7 linked regions of the Cricetulus griseus genome follow. The protein of the gene in region 1 interacts with the protein of each later gene in a pairwise test. Links are inferred from orthologs where the notes say so. Each region holds a gene or a part of one and is shown in the gene's direction. Other genes may lie near its edges. The genes, in order: Grb2, Prr22, Asap1, Sos2, Ptpn23, Wasl and Garem1.

Evidence for each region.
Region 2: the proteins of Grb2 (region 1) and Prr22 interact in a two-hybrid assay, tested with the Homo sapiens proteins (2 studies listed by BioGRID). The two-hybrid records come from large-scale screens. The link is inferred for Cricetulus griseus from reciprocal best matches to the Homo sapiens genes GRB2 and PRR22.
Region 3: the proteins of Grb2 (region 1) and Asap1 interact in binary tests that used the Homo sapiens proteins (3 or more experiments, as listed by UniProt). The link is inferred for Cricetulus griseus from reciprocal best matches to the Homo sapiens genes GRB2 and ASAP1.
Region 4: the proteins of Grb2 (region 1) and Sos2 interact in binary tests that used the Homo sapiens proteins (3 or more experiments, as listed by UniProt). The link is inferred for Cricetulus griseus from reciprocal best matches to the Homo sapiens genes GRB2 and SOS2.
Region 5: the proteins of Grb2 (region 1) and Ptpn23 interact in binary tests that used the Homo sapiens proteins (3 or more experiments, as listed by UniProt). The link is inferred for Cricetulus griseus from reciprocal best matches to the Homo sapiens genes GRB2 and PTPN23.
Region 6: the proteins of Grb2 (region 1) and Wasl interact in binary tests that used the Homo sapiens proteins (3 or more experiments, as listed by UniProt). The link is inferred for Cricetulus griseus from reciprocal best matches to the Homo sapiens genes GRB2 and WASL.
Region 7: the proteins of Grb2 (region 1) and Garem1 interact in binary tests that used the Homo sapiens proteins (3 or more experiments, as listed by UniProt). The link is inferred for Cricetulus griseus from reciprocal best matches to the Homo sapiens genes GRB2 and GAREM1.

The regions. Positions count from the first base shown.
Region 1 is NC_048600.1:128,239,968-128,242,641, reverse strand, and holds the end of Grb2 (growth factor receptor-bound protein 2), read left to right. Parts: intron 1-385; coding exon 386-571; 3' UTR 572-2,174; downstream 2,175-2,674. UniProt on the Homo sapiens protein: Non-enzymatic adapter protein that plays a pivotal role in precisely regulated signaling cascades from cell surface receptors to cellular responses, including signaling transduction and gene expression.
Region 2 is NC_048598.1:96,776,455-96,780,316, reverse strand, and holds Prr22 (proline-rich protein 22), read left to right. Parts: upstream 1-1,305; 5' UTR 1,306-1,579; coding exon 1,580-1,691; intron 1,692-1,731; exon of another isoform or gene 1,732-1,775; coding exon 1,776-1,841; exon of another isoform or gene 1,842-2,166; intron 2,167-2,267; coding exon 2,268-3,343; 3' UTR 3,344-3,362; downstream 3,363-3,862. Other genes in the region: Dus3l (tRNA-dihydrouridine(47) synthase [NAD(P)(+)]-like), read left to right, coding at 1-240, 366-441, 569-757, 845-973, 1,046-1,118.
Region 3 is NC_048603.1:23,764,703-23,768,647, forward strand, and holds the start of Asap1 (arf-GAP with SH3 domain, ANK repeat and PH domain-containing protein 1), read left to right. Parts: upstream 1-1,145; 5' UTR 1,146-1,268; intron 1,269-3,945. UniProt on the Homo sapiens protein: Possesses phosphatidylinositol 4,5-bisphosphate-dependent GTPase-activating protein activity for ARF1 (ADP ribosylation factor 1) and ARF5 and a lesser activity towards ARF6.
Region 4 is NC_048598.1:133,709,858-133,713,930, forward strand, and holds the start of Sos2 (son of sevenless homolog 2), read left to right. Parts: upstream 1-1,273; 5' UTR 1,274-1,317; coding exon of another isoform or gene 1,318-1,324; coding exon 1,325-1,411; intron 1,412-1,500; exon of another isoform or gene 1,501-1,590; intron 1,591-1,675; exon of another isoform or gene 1,676-1,733; intron 1,734-4,073. Other genes in the region: translation initiation factor IF-2-like, read right to left, coding at 167-282, 709-1,273, 1,318-1,326.
Region 5 is NC_048597.1:217,870,404-217,873,903, reverse strand, and holds part of Ptpn23 (tyrosine-protein phosphatase non-receptor type 23), read left to right. Parts: intron 1-1,807; exon of another isoform or gene 1,808-1,810; coding exon 1,811-1,938; intron 1,939-2,124; exon of another isoform or gene 2,125-2,148; coding exon of another isoform or gene 2,149-2,171; coding exon 2,172-2,248; intron 2,249-2,851; coding exon 2,852-2,901; intron 2,902-2,991; coding exon 2,992-3,123; intron 3,124-3,500. UniProt on the Homo sapiens protein: Plays a role in sorting of endocytic ubiquitinated cargos into multivesicular bodies (MVBs) via its interaction with the ESCRT-I complex (endosomal sorting complex required for transport I), and possibly also other ESCRT complexes.
Region 6 is NW_023276806.1:202,776,982-202,780,481, forward strand, and holds part of Wasl (neural Wiskott-Aldrich syndrome protein), read left to right. Parts: coding exon 1-51; intron 52-833; coding exon 834-942; intron 943-3,500. UniProt on the Homo sapiens protein: Regulates actin polymerization by stimulating the actin-nucleating activity of the Arp2/3 complex. Involved in various processes, such as mitosis and cytokinesis, via its role in the regulation of actin polymerization.
Region 7 is NC_048595.1:215,729,339-215,733,290, forward strand, and holds the start of Garem1 (GRB2-associated and regulator of MAPK protein 1), read left to right. Parts: upstream 1-1,152; 5' UTR 1,153-1,167; coding exon 1,168-1,630; intron 1,631-3,952.

The DNA.
Region 1 (2,674 bases):
TCTGCTCGAACCCCTGTCCTTTGCTTAATTACAAGCAGGGGTTTCAGTCAGAACTGCCTTTTGACTTGTAGGACCTAAGTGACTGGAACACAGACATTTTTACACCTGTTAGCAGAGCTCTGGTGCGCACAGCCTATGTTGTTGCCGCCCCCACTAGTTTAATAGGCCCATTGGCCATCGTCAGTGACATAGGTGTTTGTACCCGAGTGGGTTTTGGATATCAGTAAAGGATTACTCTGAACCCAGCTAGGATTGAGGGATGGTGGGATGGAGGAAGTTAGAGGGAGGCTGCCTTGGGAGTGGGTGGACAGTGAGCAGTGGCTGACAAGGCAGCTGGCAGCATGAGGAATGAACGCCGTTCTCGTCCTCTGCTTGTCTTTTGCAGCAGCCAACGTATGTCCAGGCACTGTTTGACTTTGACCCCCAGGAAGACGGTGAGCTGGGCTTTCGCAGAGGAGACTTCATCCATGTCATGGATAACTCAGATCCCAACTGGTGGAAGGGGGCCTGCCATGGGCAGACCGGCATGTTTCCCCGCAATTACGTCACCCCAGTGAACCGGAACGTCTAAGAAGCAGAAGAGATTATTTAAAGAAAGTGAAAAGTTGAGACCATTCACAAGAATTGCACCCACATGCTGCCTGTCACAGCTTGTGAGGGAGTGCAGAACATCTGGCTGGGTCCTACTGGTGACCCTCTCACTTAGGTTGAAACTTTGGGGGGTGGGAAGGGGTGTTTGATTTCATAATGCCAAAACTTAACCTATTGAATTGAATTACAGTTTTTATTACAGAATCTCACTGCTGCTCCTGTTCCCCTCCTATCTCCTTTTCTCATCCTTTCTTTCCTGTCCTTCAGTGCATGACGTTTGAGGCCACGTATAGTCCCAGCTGATGCCAATACTAAAAGAAACCAAGTGGGCTGGTACTTTCTCTATGCAAAATGTCTGTGGAGATGAATGGACTAAAAGAGCTATATTCTTCACACACAAGGGGCGGCCAGGGCACCTGGGGCCCGTGAATGGGCTTCTGCCAGAGATGCCTGAGGGCATCTGCCTCCAGCCCAAGCCTGGAGCATCCCGTCAAGGTTGGACTTTGTAGGGGAAGGAGGCACGCCACCCACCTCTGGTCCCCGAGTCACTGCAGACCTGCGCCTCCTCCCACTGTCTCCCCGTCAGGTGTTGCTCAAATGTTGTTTTTCATAGTGCCTTTTTTCTTATTTCAAGGGTGTTTTATGAGTGGTGTTTTTACTTTTTTTTATATAAGTTAAAGACAGTCCAGAGCTTTTCCTATCCTGTATAATATTTTCCTCTCAGGGCAGGGGAAACAGGATAGAGAAAGGAAACAGGAGAAGCAGAGCGTGGTATTGCCTGTCTGGAGGGGCCAGAGGTCTTGGAAGACTCTGCTCCCTGGCTGTGGTCTGCCCTTTCCATGCCTGGAGCCAGTGAGTGTCAAACACAGAAGACAGGGGCAGGTGGCAGCCAAGCTGTCCTTCCTCCCCTGTCACAGGCCTGCACTCGGGTGGGAGCTGAGAGTATGGCTTTTCGTTGTCCTTGCTCTTAGAATTAGGTCCTTGCTCTCAATTGTGTATTTTCCAACCTGCCCAAGAGCGCAGATAGCAGGGTTGGGGCTTGGTGTGTTCACAGCTGTTCTGCTGCCGCATCCCATGAAGCTGTGTGAGGTGGGAAAGAGCACAACCCATGCAAAGAAAGCTCTTTGTCTGTCTCCTGTGAGCTTCCAGTCCTCTGTACACCAATCTCTGCACCTAGCCTCCTTCCCACAGCAAAACAAGGCTCCTCCTAGTCTCCCTTGGAGTTGGCAGTGTCCTTGGGCTGCTGGGCTCTTCGGGGTGGGGTCTCCCCTGGACTCTGTTGGGAGATGGACTCAGCCCTGCCCTGGGGGCGGCCTTCCAAATGGAGCTGTCCCTGCCCTCCTGGTTTTGCTTCCTCTTTCCCTGCTGATGATAAAATGAAATAATGAGTTACACCTGGGCCATTTGATTGTTTTATTTTGGAATTGGTGTATATCATGAAGCCTTGCTGAACTAAGTTTTGTGTGTATATATTTAAAGATCAGTGTTTAAATAAAAAGACCTATGTACTTACTCCCTTAACTTCTGCGAATAGCGATTTGGTAGGTAGTGATTAACTGTGAATAAACATACAATGAATTCTTCTCAGTGCATCTTCTTTTCTCCCTGATGACGTCTTTATATTCTAGACAGGGTCTCTCACTGTTGCCCTGCCTGACCTGGAATTCACAGTGTTCCACCTACCTCTGCCTCACGGATGCTGGGATTAAACACAGGCTGGTACATCTAGCCCCTGTGGCCCCAGAACAAGTGATTAGTTCATCATTTGGAAATTGGTTTAGATCAAGAGCTGGGCTTACAAGGCTCCTCCCGATCTCAGAGGAAGTAGCTGAGACCCCTTGACTATGACTGCTGCTTCTAGGGTGAGACAAGGCTCTTAAAGCAAGGGTTAATAGTTGAACAAAAGAGAAATGACTTTGAGCAAACAACCTCATTGTGGTATCACAGCTAGGGAGTTTCCGGGTGCCACCCCTCCCCTGCAGTGAGTTAATAAGCAAGAGGGCGGTGCTCCTGTCCCCTCTGCTGGCTCTGGTTCCATGCAGACTACCCTGAAGCTAAGCAGAAGTTCCCAACATGAGGTCAT
Region 2 (3,862 bases), on another chromosome or scaffold:
GGGGCAGTGTGGTCCCATCTTGGGGTCACTGTGGTTTTCCTGGTCTCTTGTTTTCTGTCTCTTTGGTTCCTTGCTGTCTCCCTTGCCCCCTCTCACCCTTAACCCCTCCACCTTCCTTCATCACTGCACCCCCCTCCCCTCAGCTCCATGGCCGTTCCCGGGAACAGCGCTACACCAGGCTGGCTGACTGGCCCTACATCGAGCAGTGCGCCAAGGTAGCCAGCCCCATGCCCCTGTTCGGTAGGTGCCCAGAGCCACCGGGGCCACTCACCCTGCTGGAAAGACAGGGAGGATGCTGGGTCCCTGGGAAATCCCAAGACCGATGACTTCCCCAACACTGTCAAGACGCCACTCTGTCTCCTCAGGAAACGGGGACATCCTTTCGTTTGAGGATGCCAACTGTGCCATGCAGACAGGTGTCGCAGGGGTCATGATCGCCCGGTGAGTGGCATCTGGGCTGGGACAGGGATGCTAGAGGTTTCTACACATGGGGCCTCTGGGTGGGCAAGGCCCGGTGCTAAGGTGACTGGCAGGAAGCACTGTACCCACTGACTGTCTCCCTCCACAGTGGTGCCTTGCTCAAGCCCTGGCTGTTCACAGAGATCAAGGAACAGAGACACTGGGACATCTCGTCCTCTGAGCGCCTGGACATCCTGAGGGATTTCACACACTACGGCCTGGAACACTGGGGCTCTGACACGCAGGGTGTGGAGCGGACCCGGCGCTTCCTTCTCGAGTGGCTCTCCTTTCTTTGCAGGTGAGCGTCAGACAAGGAGAGTGCTGGAGCCTCGGATTGTAGCCTCAGGCCTCACCCAGTCTTATTGCCTCCCCTGTCCTCCTGCAGGTATGTGCCCGTGGGCCTGCTTGAGCGACTCCCACAGAGGATCAATGAAAGACCACCCTACTACCTAGGCCGAGACCACCTGGAGACGCTCATGGCCAGCCAGCAGGCCGCAGACTGGATTCGCATCAGGTACCCACTGGCCTGGGTCCTGTGGGGTGATGCTGGGAGGCCCAGGCCTGACTTGTCACCCTGTCCCCACAGTGAGATGCTGCTTGGACCAGTCCCACCCGGCTTTGCCTTCCTGCCCAAGCACAAAGCCAATGCCTACAAGTAGACAACGGAGACAATAAATTTTATTCTTCTACAACTTTTTTTTTGTTGGGTTTTTGAGACAAGGCTCCATGTTTCCTGGGATTTACTTTGAACTCCTGGAACCCTAGGCACGTACCTACCATCATATTCAGTTTTCTTTTATGTGCCATCCTTTCCTCTTCATCCAGGGTGTGGCCTTTGCTGGTGCCTGGTTCCTGTCTGCCCTGTTTTCGACTCCCAGCTATCCATTTTGCTGGCCAGCACCCTTGTGGCTGTGAATCTGGGCAACCTGGCCCAGGGTGTATCTACCCAGGCAGTGAAGGGAGTCACCTCCTGCCCACCCCCACCCCGGAATCCGAGGGGTGGGCCCATCCTGGACTGGAACCCTCCACCTAGCAACAGGGCAAACAACCCAGGGGACTGTGTCCCCGAGGTGCCTCTGCTGCCACCCAGGCCCCCCCCCCAGGGTGGCCTGTCTGCCCCATGCAGCACCCCAAAACCCTCTACCCCCCAGCCATACCCCAGGAAGGCTTCGGCCCACGGGGCCTGGAGGGCACTGAGGTGCCAGGTGGCCCAGAACCACTTCCCACCGTAGGTACGATGGTGGTAGCAGGCAGGGGTGTGTGATGGCCACGGGGCCTGGGCTCCTGCCCCACCCACCAGACGCCTTTATCCACAGCCAGCGCCAGCCTGCTCTATCAGACTCCCGGCTCGGACCACGATGTGCTATCAGCGCCTCCAGCAGGTACTGGCCAGCACCCTGAGCATGCTGAGAGCAGGCTCCGTCCTGACCCGAGATGAGACCCTGGGTCGCCTCTGTACCCCAGACAGATCCCCCCCATACTAACTCATGTGCCACAGTTTGAAGTGACAACTAGAGACCAGGCCGAAGCTTGCTTCGGTGACAACAGCTGCCACTAGGTAAGGGTTTTCACAAGGCCAAGCCACTCACAAGCTCAGTCACTGCTCCCCTGAGAATAGGAGTTTCCCCAACAGTCTCCGAGTGTCTTACCCGCCATGAATCCCCAGATGACTGCTAAACAAAGCCAGTACACACAGGCACCTTTGAGGTGAGGGCTGTGTCCTATGTGCCTGGGTCTTGGTCTGTCCCTCCCATCCCATGGTCTGGTTCCCCCATGGACACCCCTCTCAGAGTGTCTGCCACCTGCAGGCTTCCAGATGGCTCCCTGCGGCTGCTTCTTTGACCCCCGCATCTACCGAATCGAGTGGGCCACCTCCGACTTCGGCCAGTCGTCCCTATACAAGGTGGCAGTGGCCGGGGGTCCCACCTTGTCCAGTGGCTACCTGCTGGAGGCCCCATCCTACCTCAAGGCCCCGGGGCCTCCACCTCCGCTGTACCCCCACTACCAGCCAGCTCCCGGTGGGCCACAGTACCTTACACACTACCTTCCACCTGAGGAGTCTGGGCCCGAGGCAGTGGGCTTTGTGGGGGATGGAGGGTCCCTCAACTTTATGGAGATGCTCAGAGATGGCCTGGCACCCCCACCAACCCCCAAAGAGACTAAGCCATCTCCCTTGCTCATCACAGTCCCTACGGCACACTCGCTGCCACCTGGACCCTATGGCCATCTCAGTGGCCATGCTAGCCAGTTCCCAGGGCCCCAGGTGACCATGAGGCCCATCGAAGCCCCCAGGGAGCTGCAGGGCAGTGCCGTGGCCAGGCTGGGTCTGCGGTTCCCTCCTGGGCCTGCGGAGCCCAAGGTGGCCGAGGTGGAGGACATCACCCCCATGGGCTCAGGTGAGACCGTGCCTCCTGAGGTGGCCCGCGCTTTCTTCTTACCGGACAAGGTCCTTCTAGAAGATGCCATGAAACTTTTCGATTGTCTCCCTGGTGGCGCTGAACCTGAGGTGGCCCTGCACAGGGGTACCGGGCCCAGCCCGAGAGACAGTGGTGGTGGTGGGGATGACTGCACAGCCGACATCCGCTCCCTGCACCTGCCAGATGAGCTGCTGTCCTTCGACTATGGCGTCCCTGAGGTCCTGGATGCTGTGGCCAGTGTGGATTACGTTTTCAGCTTCAAGGCCCTGGATGATGAGCCGCTGCCCCATGTGGGGGTCCCTGTCACTGACATGGTGGCCCCTGGCCTACGGTCCCATCAGTCAGGAAAGAAGACCACCACATCCACCAAGAAAGGGAAACCAGGTGGCAGACAACGGCAGACCACAGGCCCCGCTGGCACCACAACCACAGGACCCAGGCCGGACCCGGGAACTGCCCTCAATTAAAGTGATTTGATCTCTGCTATGTGTTGCTGTGACCTGGTGAGGCCAGAGGGGACCCGGCAGTAGCTAGACGCCTTCAGAGTTGGGCCAGGAACCTCAGAATTAAGTGTCAGGTATCAGGCGTGCATCTGAACTGTTACCCTGTATTCGGGAGGCTGGGGCAGTCAGTCAGAACCACAAAGGATGCCCCGTCTAAAAGAAATGAGGACACAGGGGCTGGGCTGTAGCTCAGTAGAATACAGTGTTGGGTTTCAGTGCTTGGGGTTCAGTGGGTAGAGTGCTTGGGGCTCAGTTGCTACACACAAGACCCTGGACTCCATCCCCAGTGCCACATGAACTGTGTGTTTCATGAGTGTAACCCTGGTGCTGAGGAAATGAGAGGAACCAAAAGAATCAGAATTTCAAGGCTAGCCTGAGCTATATGAGACTGTATCAACAAGAAAATCAGTCACCTGGGGCTGGCCATGTTGGGAGGCCTCCTGAGAAGTGGGGTTTTCTTTTCCATCCAGACCTCACACTGAA
Region 3 (3,945 bases), on another chromosome or scaffold:
CTGTAAGTCCGGGTTTCAAAGGAATCTGAAACACTTTAAGCAAAACCACCAAACTGCAGCTTCCAGGTTAAAAAAAAAAAAATGTGGCATTTCCTTGGGAAACCACAATGAATCACTCCAATGGCCGCCCAGACTTCCAGGCTGCTTTTCCTAAACCTCCTGGAGCATCTCAAGGCTTATTAACACGCCCTCCCCTGAACCATCCCCAACCCCCGCCATCCTCAGGTTAAGAACAAAATCTCAAATTTTTGTGAGGCCTAGTGAGTTTCAGATTTCACCAGAAGGGGGTCCGCACAGCCGCTGACCTTTTCTTCAGACAGCAGTTTCTGGAAGACTCAAAGAAAAGCAAGCAAAGCAATCACCCAGTGATGGGGTGGACGGGACAGGGACAACGGACTGATGTCTGAAAGGTCAGACCTGTCCCCAGCGGTGTAAGTCTACATAGACACACACAACACACATCCCACAGGGCAGCGGCCTTTTTCCGCCGAGGTCTTGAGACTGCAAATAATAAGGCCAAGCATGGCTATCGTTGGTATTCCCAACTTGCCAGTGTAAGCATCTGGTTTTCAGATTAAGTCTACAAACACTCCTTTTTGGTTTTTCATTCGAGAAACTGAGGCCCAAGGAGTATCATTTGCAGGAGAAAGGAAAAGGCCATTCCCCAACCTGGGTTCAGACATGGAAATCCATACGCTCGCCAGATCATCCCTGTGCTATTCTGACCCAAAAGGTTCTGCCTCCAGGCACTGGGCAAAAAGAGAGGGATCGACTGGAAAGAACCCGTGAAAGTGGACGGGGAGACGTCAGGAGAGGTTGCAAGGCCATCCTGGCCGGGAGTGGGGGGGAGGCTACGGTCCTCTCCGGGTGTCCCCGCTTTAGCGGCAGACGGGCCTCACCCCTGCCCTCTGTGGCCAAGGACGAGGCCCACCCCACGCACCCCCTGCGGTGTCCTACTGGGGCGACCCGCAGGGTACCGGCGGGCCAAGGGTTAAGCGCGGCGGGAGCCCCCGGCGCGGGGCAGGCGCGGGCCGGGAGTGCTTAGTCAGGATTCCGATTTCCTGCCGAAGTGTTTGGATTTCCTGCAGCCCGCGCCCGCCGCCGCCGCCGCCGCCGCGCCGAGCGGGATCGAGCGAGCGGCTCGCGTCGCCGGCCTCCTCCCCCTCGGCACATGGTCGCCCGCCCCTTCCTGCGCCGCGCTCGGCTCCCGCTCGCCCGGCCCCGCCGCGCCCGCGATGGAATAATGCCCAGCGGCCCGCCCGGTCCCGGTGAGTGGCAAGGCGGCGGGGCGGCGGGGCGGGCGCGGCGGGGCCACCCGCACCCCTGCGGGCTCCGGGTGTCCCTGTCATCCCGGAGAGCAGCAGCCCGGGGTCTTGGGGGCGTGTGGGGCGCGCGGCCGGTTCTGCGGGGCTGTGGCCAGGCCGCCCCGGGGCTCCGCATCCGCAGCGCTGGGGTGCGCGTTCCCCTGCTCTGCGGAGGCGACCCGGGTTGCGGTGGGGGGGGGCGGGCAGGATGCGCCCCGGGCGCAATGCTCCCCCGTTCCCGGACGAGGCGCGGACAGCCGCCCGGGCGCTCTCCCCATCCGAGGGGGCGCTGTCCCCGTCCTTGGGGGCGCTTTCTCCGTCTTCCTGAGCACTCTCCCCTGAAGCTGGGGCTCACTCCTCCTCCTCCCGGGTGCTCTCCCGGTTCTCCGGGGCGCTCTCCTTCTCCTCCCGGGCACTTTCCCGGTTCTCCCGGGCGCTCTCCCCGCGCCGATTGAAGGCGCCGGCACCCGCCGCCGCATTGTCTCCGGCGCAGTGGAGGAAAGTTCCCCTCGGCGCGGGACCCGGCCTGGACATGGCGCTGCCAGGCAGGCCCCAGACCACTTAGTTAACCCAAAAGAAAACCAAGGGGGTGGGGGGTTGGTAATTCCTCCTGGGAGCTGAGAAGTGCCTTGTGTCTTCCGTTTGTACCATTTGGGGACCTGATGATTTTTTTAGGAGTGTCACAGTAAGTTTAAAAGAAAAAAAGAAACTCGCTGGTATCTGCTTTTCTGCTGTTTGATTCATCCCGAGAAGGCGGGTCTTTTTTCTATCACGGAGAGAGGCTTAGCCAAGTCTAGACCATCATCAACTTGACCATAGCCTTAGCTGTACGATTCCAAAACACCAGTTTGTTTTTCTCCATCTACTCCATCAGGTTGTCTTAGAGAACTGATTCTGGGATAGCGGTGGTGCAGGATTGCTGAGTAATGTTTTCAGATTGCAAAACACAGAATTTAATTTTTTTTAAAGCCAGTTTTCGTGTCTGTTCTAACCTGAGTGGTCAGGTTGGGAGCTCCCCGCCCCCGCCACCCGCCCCGGCCCCCGTTCCCGCACCCCCCCCCCGTGCAGGGCCATTGCGAAGGGGTGGGGGTGGGGGTGGGAGGTGGGAGTTGGGGGTGGGAATCCTGTAAGGGAAGAAAAGAGAGCGCAAAAAACCATAGAAGAACTGTTTCCACTTTTTGTTAACGTGGAATGGAAGCGGTTCAAACAGGTTACCTGTCTTGTCAAAGGGCACATGACCACTTGGTGGCCTAGCCAGAAACAGCTAGCTTCCAATTCGCTAAACTCTGGGGCCAGGCTGCTCTCTCTGCCTGTGTCGGGTTATGGCCTGTCAGCCAGGAACCAGATGTGGAATTGTGTCTTTCAATCCCTCGCCACTTTAGCGCCTTCTCTTGTTCGCTTATCTGCAATTGCCGCTGTTTTTGAGATATGAAGTTATCTGAAAGAACTTATTTTGTGATAAGGCGTTTTTAAATTACCCTATTTAAAAAATGCATAATTATTTTTAGTACCTTGCATGCTGGCTTAAAAGAAAAAACAAAAAATTAAAATATGACCCAACTTCTTCTATTCACTGACCCAAGTGCATTTGGGATTCAACTATCAAACGGATTTGAAATATACAATTGTAGTTATGAGATGGGGGATTGCTTTTCTCTACTTTCTCCTTATGGTTGAAGATGTACAAACTCCCAAGACTCCAAAGGGGCAGTGTCTTGACACAGAATGGTCTGTGAGATTCTCAGAAGGTCTTGGTTTTGAGTCCTCCTCTTTCTGTGAGCTGGGCAGCCCACCTACCTTCCTCCTCATGAAAGCTGGGTGGCTGCTGGCTTTTCATTTTTAGTACGTGATAATGTTGGAGAGAAAGGACTTGCTCACAAGCTTGCCATTTGGTGAAGGAAATTGAAATTCCTTACACCTCTCCCACTCACAGCAAGCCAGGTTTCCAAAAAACCAATGCAAGCCCGGCAGGCCCAGAGATGAATGTGTGCATTCAAGCTGAGCCCTCCTGGTCCAGACCCTCCTCCCAGCTGGCTGCTCATGTTGTATCCAGGTGGCTGTGGTCTAGAGGAAAAAGAGAGCTGGCCTCCTACCTGTGCTGTTCGTGTTTCTTCCCTGCAGTGGACTCTGCTTTTTGATGAGCTCTTTCTGACACCCCCCCTTCATTTTCACCTCCCCCATTCTTTCCTCTCTGTGGCGTCTCTCACACGGTTTCCAGGGGTCTTTTCTAGAAGTCTGCACTAATGATTCCTACACAGGCGATGCTGACAGTGATATCTAGTACTTGTTGAGCACTTGTGGTATGCTCTAGACTCTTTACCTCCTAAGAAGGACCAAGGAAGTGTTGGGGAGACGGCTTAGCTGGAAAGAGTGTTTGATGTACAAGTATAAAGACCTGAGTTCAAATGCCCGGAAGTCTTGTAAAAAGCCAGGTGCCCTGACTCAGCACCGCAATCGCTTGAGCTTGCTGACACGTACCGGCCTGGCTCTAAATACAGTGAGAGACCGTGTCTAACCCCCAGTGTTCACTCATGGGTATGAGTGAACACACACACACACACACACACACACACACACACACACACACACACACACACACACACACACACACACACACACACGAGTGTTCCCCCAAAGAGGG
Region 4 (4,073 bases), on another chromosome or scaffold:
GGGAGAACAATGCTCAGCTACCGATTCTGGAACTGAAATTATGGCACAAGCTGTCTTTTACAGTTAGTTCTCCCGTTCCCTTCCTCCTTGCTGGTGGCTGGGTGCATGACTGTTCACAGCCTGTTGGAGCAATTTGTTCAGCAACTTTAGTGGGATGAAATTTGGGCTAGCGAAAAAGTTTCCAGAGTTCATGCCTCTTCAACTCAGAAAAGCTTAGGGCCAGAAGATCTTTTCTGGTGCTAATTAGTATGACTGCATCCCAGGATCCAGGTTCTGTAGAACCTGAATTGGAAAGGATTTGAAGGACATGATTAACAAAAGAACCATACATGAAAGTTTTATGAAGATACTTTTTTTTTTTTTTGATACACTTATGTGAAATGCCTCGAACTGAAGTCACCCGGCCCCGAAACCGCGCGCTAAGCGCTTTCCACGACCCCACGTGCTTTTATGAAACAGCTACCAAATCTCCCAAATATATGAAGGAGCCATGTAGAGCACAAATTAGATATCCTATCAGACAAATGTCCTTCTCGCCCCACATCGGTGTACTGCGGTCACGGCTCGAAGCTCCCTCTGAGCTGCACCGAATCAGGACTGTCTGCAAGCGCGGAGGACGCTGCCGAGTGTGTCTGGAACAGCTCCCACCCCGCCCGGCGCACATTCCCAGGAGACACCGACTACCCTCCCGGCCCCCGGGCCCCGCACCCGGCGCCTCGGCCCGCTCAGCGGCGCGCATGCTCCGTGCTGGCCTTCTCCCTAGACTCGGGAGTGCGAGCACCGGGCCGTGGCTGCGAGCCGCGGCTGCTGGGACCCGGAGCTCGGCGGCGGCCCGCGGGGCTGGAGGGGCGGCGGCGGCGGCGGCCAGCGCTGTGCACGCCGGACACGCGCGCCCGATCGCCCCCGAGGGCCCTCTGGAGGTGACTCGGCGGGCCCGGTCGGGCGCGTCGGCTGCGCGGAGGGCGGGGAGGCGATGAGGACACTGCGGGCCGCCGCTGTCCGCCCGCCGCGGCCGTAGCGGGAGTCGGGGCGGGGCGAGGCCGGCGGTGCTCCGGGCTGCGCACCCAGACAAAGGAGGAGGAGCCGCCCGACGAGCCGCGGGGAGAGCTGGGCGCCTCGGGCCGCGCGCTTCCTCGGGGCTGCGGGGCCGCCGAGCCTCGGTGAACGCCGCCGGCCCGCCCGCCCGCCCGCCGGCGCCGCCCCCGAGCGCTCGGCCGTAGCGGCGGCCCGAGCGGAGGCGCGGCCGGGCGAGGCGAGGCGGCCCGCGCCCTGCCTGTCAGGCCACCGGGCCGGCCTCCGATGCGGAGGCGCCGCGGCCGGGGCCATGCAGCAGGCGCCGCAGCCCTACGAGTTCTTCAGCGAAGAAAACAGCCCGAAATGGCGGGGACTGTTGGTCCCGGCCCTGCGGAAGGTCAGTGCTGGGGCCGAGGGAGGTGCCGCGCGCGGGCCGGCGGGCTGGGTGGGCCGGGCCGGGCGCCCGCAGAACTTGTAACGGGGAGCATGGGTCGCGCCCGCATCGGGTCCCCCGGCCGAGCTTTCTCTCTGGCCCGGAGCCGGGTGCTCAAAATTGCCTGTTGCATCCCGAAGGACGTTTGCTCAACTTTTTTTTTTTTTTTTGGCCTGGTCCCGGAAGGAAGGTTTTGTTATGATCATAAAACTGGATTTCATGTTACAGTCATTTCGTCAGGCAACTTCCGCCGTTGACCAATTTGTTGTCCTCGGGCTGGATTCGGGCAAGACAAAGTCCCGCTGGTCTTTAGTTTCAAAAACAAATGCAGTTTCGCACCGAGGAACTACTTTTTAATTAAGTTCTTTGGGGGGTGTTCGCTTCGGGCCGTTTGCTTTGCCAAGGTGGCCCATTCGCTTGTGAGGCAGTGCTTTTTTTTTTTTTTTTTTCTTTTTTAAATCTAATATGGATGTGTGTTTCACATGTGTGAAGTGTCAGTGAGTCATAGTATTCGTTTTCCAGCTCTTGAGGTGAATCTAAAGCGCCTCTCCACTTCCTGCAGAAGTCTCACCTGAATACAAGGACTGCCTCATAAAATTGGATCAGTTTGCTCACAGCGATGAGAACTTGCAGTCATCTTTAAGGGACAATTGGGGGCAGCTCAAGCAAATCAATCTTTGAAGTTTGGATGCGTGGTTAGGATACATATCTTGTACTGGTTGGTGTCAGTCTCTTAGGAAGTTAGGTAATTATACAATGGTTTTTGTTGCTGTTGTTAAGTTCTTTTTGTAAGCCAGACACACGGGCTCAGGGCTAGCCGTCATGCCCCTGAGACATTTTGCCTTTTCTGCAAAATAAACACGAATTAAAATAATAATCATATTAAATAAATAATAATAAAAATTCTTGGGCTAGCGAGAGATTCAGATGGGGAAGGGTGATCCTGCTGTCCAACAACACAAGCTTGATGGCTTGAATTTCATTGTTGCAACTCACATAAAGGTGGTAGGAGAGAACTGACTCCAGAGTTGTCCTGGCCCTCATGCAGGATCTGCATCTCTCTCTCTCTTCAGACACACACACACACCACCCATGCACACACGCACCGACTCCAGTTAGTTAAACCCCTGCTCTTGAGGGAGTCTGTTAAATGGCTCAGGGAGTAAAAATGCTTTTTTGGCAAGCCAGATCACCTGAGTTCATGCCCAGAACCCAGATGGAAGAGAGAACTGACTCCCAAAAGTTGTTCACATGCTCACACACACTAATAACAACAACAGCAACTACACTTGAAAAATAATTGTCGTCCATTTCTAGGAATTGAAAGACACCTTCATGGTAAAAGCATTTCCTGGTACTTTCAGGATTTCAAGTTTTTCCATTGCCATAATTTCTCACGAGGAGGTGTTTATTGGTTTCCTTGGGGAGCACACTGAGTCATGTCATTTTAAAGAACTTGGTGGAAATGGAAATCATGTTAAGTAGTGCTAATGAACTCTGTCTTGAATTAAAAGCAAGGGGGGGGGGAATACCTAGATAGTAATTAGCCCTTCTACCTCACAGAATGGCGAATGCCTTTATCAGCGAGATCTGTGCTGGTGGTGTGTGGTACAAATGTGCTACTTCATAGTAAAGGAAAGAAACACATTTGTGACAGTTTGGTCTTTAGTGGTGAATGTTAAAAGCAGTTAATACTACTTTATTAAATTCGCATTATGGATTGAAGTACACACCCATGGAAAACATCTTATTTTTAGAAAAATTTTGCCAGTACTAATTCATATTTTATGTGGTTTGATGTATTCTAACTTTATGTATTCATTTAACATCTGTTGAACACAACTTAGATACTTGATACCATGCCAGATTCTAAGAATACAAAGGTGAATTTATTATTATTATTATTATTATTATTATTATTAACTATGATTTTTTGAGACAGGGTTTCTTTGTATAGCCTTGGCTGTCCTAGAACTCTGTAGACCAGGCTGGCCTTGAACTCAGATCCACCCATCCTGCTGACCCCACACTCCCCATTGCTGGGATTAAAGGTGTCCCCCACACCCAGCACAAAGGCAAATTTTTAAAAGGAAAGTTATTCTCTAATGGTATTTATTATCTAGGCCAAAAATTCTGTTTTGAAGGATTTGACTTCTGTAAATGAGTAATTTTGACCATTTTTTTGTAAAGAGCGTCTTTCTCGTGTGTGTGTGTGTGTGTGTGTGTGTGTGTGTGTGTGTGTGTGCACGCGCGCGCGCGTGTGTGTAAGAAGCAGTGTTGTCTCAGTCAGATTAGTGATGAAGTCACCAAAACATTTCAGAAAGGTGAAGTCATGACTTTAATTCAAAATATAAATGAACACACGTCAGTGATTTAAACTTATTTATTTTTGAGAGAGGGGCACACAAGCTGCCCTCAAACTTGTCATGTAATGGAGGGTGACCTTGGACTTCTGAGCCTTCTGCCTCCTCCACCTGGGACAGAACCCAGGCTTCCTGCTTGGTTGGGTAAGCACTCTACCCAGCCTTCAGTGTTTTATTTAATGAAAGATCTAGTAAGATGTTAAAGCCATTCATATGACCATTTGGATATTTATAGGATACTTACTGAAGTAATATTAAAACTA
Region 5 (3,500 bases), on another chromosome or scaffold:
CTTATTTAATCTTTTTAATTACTAATAGTCATCCTAATCAGTGTCAGGTGAGGAAGGGTAAAGTGTATGGGCCACACTGGGGTGTGCTTGCTGAGAGCACCCTTGCTAAGGGCTCCGGATCAGTTGGTGCTGCCTCGCCTTGCTTCAGCCCCGTAGCTATTAGCTTTCTAGTGAGGGTCTCTGGTCCTTTCTGCAGGGTGGGACAGGGGAGTTTATGGCTTTTACCCAGTGTCTCACTGGGCCCATGCTCCTTGATTGTTATATGATCTGCTTTTTAAAGTTTGAACAAAGGATTCCTTTGTTTTGTTTAATTTTCCTCCCAATTGAAAACAGGCTGGGCAGTGGTGGCACAGGCCTTTAATCCTAGCACCGGGGAGGCAGAGACAGATAAATCTCTGTGAGTTTGAGGCCAGCCTGGTCTACAGAGTGAGTTCCAGGACAGGTTCCAAAGCTATACAGAGAAGCCCTGTCTGGAAAAAAACAAAACAAAATATTGAAAACAGTAAATATCCAGAATATATGATCAAACAAAAATTTATGTCTATATCAGACATGAATCTGCCTGCCTATCTATCTATATCTGTATCTATATATTTATCGAAAAGAAGATAAATTGGGGCTGGGGAGTTAGCTTATTTAGTAAAGTGCCAGGCATGCCTGAGAACTTGGGTTTGGATCCCTCAAATCCATATAAATACCTGATGTGGTCATGCCTATTTGTAGCCCGAGTGTTTGGCAGGAGGAGGAAGGTCAGGGGGTGGAGATAGGTCGAGCCAGCTCTGGCTTTCCTGAGAGACCCTGTTTCAAAAGATAAGGTGGCAAGTGACAGTGGACGATACCTGCCATGTGCCCTGCACACGTGTGCGCATGTATGTGCAGTGTGCATTCACACAGAGAGAAAACACTTCAGTAGTGTGGCTCATACATAATCACAGTCAACATTTTGAGGTGTTCTTCTGGATTTTTTTTTCGTTTTGGTCCATGTATTTATTTGCTTATCCTATAGAAATGAGATCATATATTCATCTGTTACATTATTTTTTTGCCTGTATGTCATAGAAGTCATATCCATAGCAACCTTTGTCTTTAGTTTGGCTGGGGAATATTTTCTTGTGTGAGTTGCCTTGATATAATTGATGTAAACAATCCTCTTTAATGGAAAGTCTAGTGGCATCCAGTGTTTTAATCTGATAATGTTGTGAGAAATGCCCTTGTATGCACATCTAGATTTTTTCCTCCCTCTTAGATATCTGCCCTTCATGAATATTTTAGTCAAGAATGACCAAAAAACGATTGGTCCTCCCGTCGATCTCCTGGGATTACAGCTGTGCATACTGCCTGGCTCTCCTGGGTGCCTCTGGCTGTGCATTTTTATGTGTCGAGCTGTGGGTCAGAAGTTAAACAAAGGGGGAGGGGCAGAGTTAAACATAGCTGGAGAAATGGCTCAGCAGTTAGGAGCACAGACCACTTTTCTAGAGGACTCAGGTTCAATTCCCAGCACCCATAAGGCAGCTCACAACCTCAAGTCGCAGGGGATCCAGTTCCATCTTCTGACCTCCACAGACTCCAGCCACACATGTAATGCACATACATGCAGGCAAAACGACTACACGCATAAAATAGTATCTTTAAAGGTTGAATATAGTCAAAAATGTAAAGCATATTATAGAATATCTTCTAGAATGTGGGACAGACTCGGTCTACCAGCCTTGGCTGGCAGTATGGTATGTCCAATAACTGCAGGTGAAGATAGGGTTTTCTTTGAAAACTCTAATGATGGTGAACCCATTTCTTCCATCTTACTTCCCAGAATGCTATTCGTGTTGCACGGGATTTTGAGGGCTGCAGTGTCCTTCGAAAGTACCTTGGCCAGCTACACTACCTGCAGAGTCGGGTACCCATGGGCTCAGGCCAGGAGGCCGCTGTAGCTGTCACCTGGTGAGAGCTGGTAGGCTGGGCTGGGAAGTTGAGAACTTAGAAGGTGCTTAGACAGCTGGGATGCTTGGGTGGTAGGCGTGATCCTTTCCCCTCTCCTCCCCTTGCACAGGATGGAGTGTTAGTGTGAGCTCTTGTTAGACCCCTGTCTCATACTGGAATGGTTGGTTCCCTTTCCTGACCCTTGAGCCCAGGTCAGGTCCTACCCTCTAGATGACTGAGATGCATGTCTGCAGGACAGAGATCTTCTCTGGAAAGTCTGTGGCCCACGAAGACATCAAGTACGAGCAGGCCTGTATTCTCTACAACCTTGGTAAGCTGCTGGATCCTTCCATGGGTCCAACACCAAGCCCTGCCAGCCCTGGGTCTCAGTTCATCAGATCACACAGCCAAAAAGGCTATGACTTAATGAAAGGAAGATGCCTGGGTTCTGACCCCTCCTGCCTCTACCACAGCTACACTGGCACCTCTGCTGTTGTCTGAGGCCCTGGGAAGTCACTGTTTAAAGAGCTACTCTGCTGGGCTAACATGAAGCTGTCACTGCACTCCAATAGGGCGTCATGGCCTTTCTTTGTCTGGATAGTGTCACTTACTCCCTACTCCCCTATTAATGGCTTCAGATTGAGAAGATAAGGCTGGCCTTAGATTGCCCTTCAAGTCATTGTGGCTTTTGGCTGAGGGGAAAGCATGGGGGCTCCTCCCTCCTCTGCCACCCAGGCAGGTGCATGGCAGGGAGGATCTGGCTGGGTTTGTGATTGTTCCTCCTTGGTTATCCTTGCACTGACTGCCCAGTTCTCGGATCTGTTTTTCTGACTGGATGACAGCAGGAGCTCCTCTACTTCAGTCTCAGCACAGGTGTGGTCGGCCTGGGGAACATCCCCAGGCTCTCCTAACAGAATGTCCCCTGCCTGTCTAGGTGCACTGCACTCCATGCTGGGGGCTATGGACAAGCGGGTGTCTGAGGAGGTAAGGACTGGGAGGGGGCAGCGAGCTTGTGGGTGTGCTGTGTCCTCAGCTGCCAGAGGAAGTGTCATCTTTTCACCTGTTCCCTCCCAGGGCATGAAAGTCTCCTGCACCCACTTCCAGTGCGCAGCAGGTGCCTTTGCCTACTTGCGTGAGCACTTCCCACAGACCTTCAGTGTAGACATGAGTCGCCACATCCTCACCCTCAATGTCAACCTCATGCTGGTGAGCAGGGGTGGCCCTGGTGGAGCCAAATTGTTTTTGTTTCTGTTTTGAGATGAGGTCACATTTTGTAGCTCAGGCTGGTCTGGAACTTACTGTGTAGTCCAGGCTTACTTCAGGGTCATGGCCAATCCTCCTGCCTCAGTCTTTTGTGGTTAGTCATGAGCCACTACCCCTAACTTTAGTTTGAGCTGGAGAAGAAATGGCTAAGGAAGACGGCGGTTACATCTGGATCCTGCCATGTTCCAGGCAGTGAGGGACAGGCAAGAAGGAGGCCTTAGTATTGGGTCTTTTGAGTTCCAGGTAGATCAGGCACAGGGTGTGGTAACTCGGGGATATTTTGGTTTGTCCCTCGGCTCCCAACAAGGGAGGGACCTTCA
Region 6 (3,500 bases), on another chromosome or scaffold:
GGAAGGGATGCGCTTTTAGACCAGATACGGCAGGGCATTCAACTGAAGTCTGTAAGTAATGTGTCCTTTTCATTTTGATTTTTTTTTTTTAAGCACTGCAGGCTTTTACCATACCCCATTATAAGATGTCTAACTTTGAGGGTTATTCTTTTTCTTTTTATAATTTTTAAGATGTTGGTTATGCGCAATGAAATATACACATTTTGGATGTGTACACTCTGTAGCTGTGTAGTCCACACTTAGTATAAAAATGTGACATATCTGTCGCCATAGAAAGCTGCCTTGTGCTTCCTCCCAACAGTTCATGATCTGATTGCTATGTGATACTTCTGTATATTCTAAATATCACAAAGATGGAATCTTACAATATGTTTATAATTATTGTTCTAGACTTTAAATAAAAGATTCTTTAAAGAAACTACTTAATAAACTAAAGGGAATTTTAAAAAGCCCTCTTGGAAGCAGCTTCAGGGTCTTGGTAAGTTCAAACAAGTAAACTTACAAAAATGGAAGCATACTCTTAAACACTAAAATTTTGTATTTGGAAATTAAAAATCAGACTCCACAGAAAAGTGAAAGCGGTCCCAACACTAGAATTCATCACAGTGATGGTCTATAAGTCTGGATTTTCTCATCATTTCTTCATCTTTTTAACTCCCCGCATTGCACCTTAATTGCAGATGAGCTCTTGGACTTTGCTATATGTGGGGTAGAGATCAGAACCCAGATCCTAAGGCTTCTACTGCAAGTCCTCTGCCCTCTGAGCCTTCCCCTGTGCACACAGATTCTTTGCTAAGGATTTCTAACTGAGTTATGATACTTCCTTCTCCAAGGTGTCTGATGGCCAAGAGTCCACACCGCCCGCACCTGCTCCCACCTCAGGGATTGTGGGTGCACTGATGGAAGTGATGCAGAAAAGGAGCAAAGCCATTCATTCCTCAGGTGCTCACGTGCTCTGGGAGGGGTGGAAGTGTGTCTACCTGATATGTGAAGCTCTGCATTTTCTGTTTGTTTTTATGATTTTCTTTGTTACATTTTTGTCTGATAATTATGCAGCTCATTTGGTGTTGCAGTTTTAAAAAGCAGAGCTTGAGAGAAAGATGCCATGTGACAGAGCTTGGGTGAAGGGGTTTTTAATTGGGGAAAAGTGAATGGGAAAGGGGGATGGGGACAGGAGCAGCCAAAGAAAGAGAAGGAGAGAGATAGAGACAGAGAAACAGGCAGAGAAAGAAAGAGAGGAAAATGGGAGGTTGGCAGGACAGAACAGGCCCTTTTAAAAGGGAACATAGTGAATGTGCACAGGTGGTGCTCTTAGTGACTATAGCTGAGGGCATATCCTGTCAGAACCCCAAGGACAGGCCAGTACAGATGCCTGAGTACTAGCAACTGGTAAGAGTTTTTACAGCATATTTAATCAAATTGTGTCCTCAATGACTGGTCTTCCTAAAATTTGAAAGATACCAGGACACCACAGCCATACAGAAACAAGAAGAAAAAAATTTGTAAAAAGTGATGAATTCATTTTCTGTATTGGAAAACACTATAGAATCATTGACAAACAGCCTCTAAATAAGACTTTGAGATTTCTCGGTACCATTTCTATGATATTCTAGTAATAAGAACTATAGTAACAAAACAGTGTTGTGCTTGGTTTTTTTATTCTTTGAGGGGCCTGCCATCTAGCTCCCAAATAATTATACTGAGACTTACGCCTTCTTATGAATGCCTGGCCTTAGCTTGGCTTATTTTCCACCATCTTTTCTTAAATTATCTAGTCTACTTTTTCCCTCTTGGCTTTCACCTTTCTCTGTTTCTGTATATTTTTTCTTCTTATTCTGTGTCTGGCTGGTTGGTTGGCCCCTGGCCTCCTCCTCCCTCCCTCCTTCCTTCCTTCCCTCTTCTGCCTCCCTTCCTCTCCCTCCTCCCTATTTATTCTCTCTGCATGCCAGCCCTGCCTCTTTCTCCTGCCTACCTATTGGTCGTTCAGCTTTTCATTAGACCAATCAGGTGTTTTAGATAGGCAAAGTAACACAGCTTGCAGAGTTAAACAAAAAATAAAAGAATGCAACACATCTTTACATCATTAAACAAATGTTCCACAGCATAAATAAATGTAACCCATCTTCAACTAATACTCTACAACACAGTGTAGTGCTGCTACAAAAATAGACACCCAAACCAATAGGACAAAATAGGGGAATTCAGAGATAAACACACAGTAGTGAACAAAAATTACACACTGAGAAAAAGGGCAGCCTACTAAATGAAGATGCTGGCAAATGGATATCCACTTGCAGAAGAATGCAGTTAAACTACTTTCATTCACCCTGCACAAAAATCAGTTCAAACTAGATCAAAATTCCTTAATTTAAAACATGGAATTCTGGAGAGAGGGGATTAGATTTCTTTCACTTTTCTCTACCTTCTGTTACTTTTCAAGTCCTGATACTAATACTGAAATAGTTCCTTATAGGAAACTTGTCTTATAAGGGAACAGAAGATATTCTGTTTTTATCTAGCCTACATATATAATGTCACATACAATTTACTTTCTGGCTCTTTATCATTGTAATCATAAGTATTAAACACCATCTTTGTTTACATACTTGGCCGTGGTAGGTTTTTGTGAGGTATGGATATCATGGAAAATTGATAGAATGTGAATGTTCACTGGTAGAATTAGATGACATTAAACCCTGAATTCACTCAGAATAATGATTGAACAGCCTCTGCACATAACTCCTGCTGTTCAGGATCCTATGGTATGTAACAGACCAAGACACAGCTTTTGTGGGGTTTGTACTCTAGTGTGATACATTAAGTTTACAGGCATTCTGAAAAATTAAGGAAAGAGGAATGGAACAGACAGTTCCCACTTCTGGAGAAGGGTTACACAGGATAGGCAGGAAAAGCCTCTTTCAAGAGGTGATTTCTGAGTGGGATGTAAATGATGAGACGGCCAGAAAAGGGAAAGAGTACTTCAAATGCTCTGACATGAAGGAACCAGTTGGGTGAGGGGGAGGGACAGAAAGGGAGACGATTGTACTAAAGACAGTGAGAGGAGGGACAGGGCAGGTGGGAGACTTAGAACAGGGCAGAAGGGCTGGACAAGTCATGTGTGATGTTTCAGAGGGAGTTCAGAGTACATTCAGGCAGCAGTAGCCAGCCACAGGAGGCCTTTGAAGGAAGAACATGACATTTTAAACTTAGAGTTTTAAGTATCTCTCCATCTTCTCTGAGGTGAACCTCCTTCCTGGAGAACAGCAGTACTTGAGGCAAAACCTGACAGTAGGTATGGACTGTGGTGGAAAGGAAGGCACTTGATGGAGGGAGAGGGAAAGCCTGCTAACCTAAGAGAAAGATGATGTCATTAAGATGAAGACAAGCAGATTGTGGGAAGAGGAAAAAAGTCAAGTTCCAGGGTTACAGATTTATGTAAAGAATGTAAAAGTAATTGTAAATCCAAACTCCTGAAAAGCTAACCGAAGTTTCATTTGACA
Region 7 (3,952 bases), on another chromosome or scaffold:
TGAACACCTAATACTGAAAGCGTGTTGATGGAACAGGTTCACCTCAGGAGCTGCTCATCTCTCTAGCTGAACTTCATGAAAAAAAAAAAAAAAAAAAAAAAAGCAACACACAAGTCCGGGCTTTGCCTGGAAACTAGGGACCTCGTAATCCCTTCTATTATCTGAGCTCTGGCCACAACAAGCAAACCCTATTTCAAGACTGTGGGCAACATTATTATGGAAAGCAACCTGTGGGTTAAATGCTAGCACCGCTTCCCAAGAGTTGTGCCATTTTGTGACATCCCCGAAAGTTCTGGTAGCATGTTTAGGAAAGGGGATTTATCTATCAGAAGAGAACCTCTCTGCGCGTTGGAGGAGGATGACCTCCTGGACGTTGACACTCCACAGCTTTCTGCGTCTGGGAATCTTTTGCATCCTGCCTTGCAGCCACACTTGAACTGATCACAGAAACTTTCATCTCCGTCTATGGAGTCATGGAGTCAGGAAGCACCACCGATGGCTAACTCCACGGGCTGGCTCTTTCCCGCCCCGGTCCCTATAGCCAGGAAAACCTGCTGTAGCTGCCAGAGGCAACATCAGAGTTCGCCACTGCCGACCATGAAGAGCGCTGGCTGCACCGCGGGCACCGGGAAGGACGCGCCGGGCGAGGCTGCAGGGCGCGCGAGCGGTCGGACGGGGGAGCGAGAGCCAAAGCTTGCGGAGCGCAGCCGAGCGGGTACCACAGTCCCGGGAGCCGCCTCGGAGGGAGGCAGAGCTCCTAGCTAGAGAAATGTGCGGGAGGCGGGGCCTGTAGGAGGCGGAGCTAGGGAGGCGGGGCCTATGGGTACTGTGGTTGAGGAGGCGGGGCTAGGTTAAGGAAGGCGGCGCCAGAGGAAGGCGGGGTTATGTGTGGGCGGGAACTGTGAAAGGCTGAGCCTACTCGGAGGTAGGCGGAGCTAGTGGTGGAGCCCGCGTTCCAGGGAGGTGAAGCCTCGGCTCCAGAGAGGTGGAGCTAGTGGCGTGGAGGCGGGATCCGAGGAAAAGAGGCGAGGTCCGAGTCGGAGAGGCGGAGCCTGTGCCCCAGGGAGGCGGAGTCCCCGGTGGGAGGCGGGCACGGAGGCGGTGCCAGGGCGGGCTGCGCAGGCGTCCCATGCCCCTTGTTGATTAGTCAGTGCCGGGAGCGCTGCTATGGCGTTCCTCCGACCCGCGGCTCCTCCTCACACTGTGCTCGAGGCGGAGGCTAGGAGGGGCCCGAGGAGGAGGCGGGCGGCCGGCCGCCGCAGCTGCAGAGCCGGGCCAGGGGAGGCGGAGGAGGAGAGGAGCCGCCGCAGCCAGCCGGGCCGCCTGCAGCGCTCCCCTGGCTTGAGGGCGCGGGGCGCCAGCCATGCCTCGGTGTGGCCGCTGAAGGCGGGTGCCGGCGTCCCCGCCGCTGTGCCTCGCTGCCCGGCTGCCCGCGGCGGGAGAGCGAAGCCGCCCGCCAGCCAGCGGTGGAGCGGGCGCGGGAGCGCGGGGCCGGAGGAGGTGGGGAAGATGGACCCGGTGCCCTCGTTGGGCTGCAGCCTCAAGGATGTGAAGTGGAGCCCAGTGGCTGTGCCGCTCGACCTGCTGGTCAGCACTTACCGGCTGCCCCAGATCGCGCGGCTGGACAGCGGTGAGTACCGGCGGGGCGCGCGGGTGCCAGGAAGGGTGGGACCCGGGGGGGGGCGGGGGCAGTGCTCGCCCCTGGCTGTCTAGTTGGCCTGCGAGGGCTGCCGCAGCCCTGGCGCGGCACTCCACTCCCCCCCAGCAGCAGCAGCCGCCGTCGCCAGAGAGGTGCAAATCAGAACCCTTGCAGTGCAGTTAATAAGGGCACCTTAAAAAAAAAAATCAACATCGTGGAAACCTGCAGATAGTAACCTTGGATGCAAGAATTACTCAATCTGGGAACCCTGAAGTTGTCTTAGGCAACTTCCTGACGAAAATAATTGGGCTCTGGGTGGTATCTTGTTTGGGGTGCTCTCTCCAACCGGTCTTCCCTATGTCTGCCAAGAAACTGCAGATTTCAGAGGAAAAGCTCCCGGGTGACCCAATGAAAACGATCACGTTTCTTGGAGATCTTTTATTACAGCTCGTCTACTCTGTTTAACACAACAACGAGTGATTTAGGGTTGTGTGCAGAAAATGTCTTTAGCAGAAGTGATGGTATGCTTACGGTTAATTATTAGCATAGCGCGCTTCCAGCTTAGAAAAAATATTTTAAGCCGCTAAAGCATATTGATTTGCAATCTGAGCTCTGAACCAAGAAATGCCTGTATTTCCTGAAACTGACCACAAGAAAACAACCAAGAACACCGCCCCCCACCACACACACTGATTATTCTGCACTGTGACATATGCAAACAAATATGTAGATGTGCTACTGTCAGTCAAGTGGACACCTTTAGTTTTGAGATGTTGGAGGGGACAGTTTAAGTTGTGTCTGTTTTTTTTGCACTTGTAACTTCACCCAGTTAAGCTTCTTGGGACTTCAGATTGTAGGAAGAAGTCTGCTCTGCTGTAGGGCAGCCGGGCGGGCTGGCACCAGGCAGGCACATAGATAGAGCTGTGGTCACACACAAGCCAGATCAAAACTGGTCTGAACAGAAGGATGCCGTTTCTTCAAGTCACAGGCACTTGCCTTATGTCTTGCTTTCTAGAGTAAAGTGTGTTTCATATGAGATGTGTAAGTGCCCCCAAAGAGGTCTTATTCTATTGCTTGTCTGTAAGGCTAGACTAGACACTGAAACACTGACAAGAGAATTAATAAATGAGAAAGTTTTGAAAGCTGGAAAACAACATTGGCATGCTTGCTGTCTTTGGCTGGTGGTGGTGGTTGTGGTGGTTACTGGGAATAAACTAGAAGTTTTAAAACTAAGAAGGAAGTATGTGATGGTAATAACTGTTGAATCCAGGGGAGGACATTGAGGCATATTGAGGCATTTCTACTTAGCGTGGGGGTGGCAAAGTGTGTTGTGCTTTAATAAGTAACTGTGTGTGTGTGTGTGTGTGTGTGTGTGTGTGTGTGTGTGTGTGTGTGCAGTTTCATTTCCTCCAATGTGCAAAATTGTATGTTTTGGCAGGTTGTGAGTCTTTACCTTTCCATTTCCAGACCTTCCCTCATCTCTGCAAACTCTGCCAAAACTTCTCAGCGAGGCAATAGAGCATTGGTGCACGTGGTGTGCAAATTGCTCAGACTTCCTCCAACTCAAAGTGCAGAGAGACTGTGCATCAGCCTTAGACATAACTCTCAGTCTTACTAACTACTTTCCTATCCCTGTCATTCATTAAAAGGGTCTCAATCAGCACTGAGCTCACCCCACACTTCTTTTCAAATTGGGATGTGGGCTGCAAGTCTTAACACTGTGTCCTTTCAAGCCTTGGGATGGATTTTGATCATCATGTGTAATTCTAGTTCTTTATCATAAATTCCTCTTGTGATTAACCACTTGAGAATCCAAGTCATACTTGTAGCCAATATTACTGTATACCTGATTCCTTCATTAACCAGTCCCATCTCTTTTTTGTTAGCATAGATTCTAATAGCTGCATGATATTCTGTGGGAATGCCTATAGCATATATCTATCTGGCCCCTTATAGGTGGACATTAAATTGTATTTATATCTACTCCCTCATTAGTGGACATGAAGTCGCCACTTACCCTACTTCATCTGTAAGTTCCGAGATAATGAGCATTCCTATACGTAGGCTTGTTTTGGGGATGAGAATGTGTTCCTCCCTTGCTGAGAGCACATGTGAATCTTTTTAAACTTGTGACACAATTGTCATTGCCCTAGAGACCAAAGGTTAGACTCATGCAAACATGGGCATTGTGGGAACAGCACTGGGCCCACATCCTTACTATATTGTAGGGCTCCTTGCTTGCTTTTGAAGTTTTTGCTAATCTGATGGGAAGAGGGACAAGTTATTTTAACAATTTAATTTGGGTAGACTTTA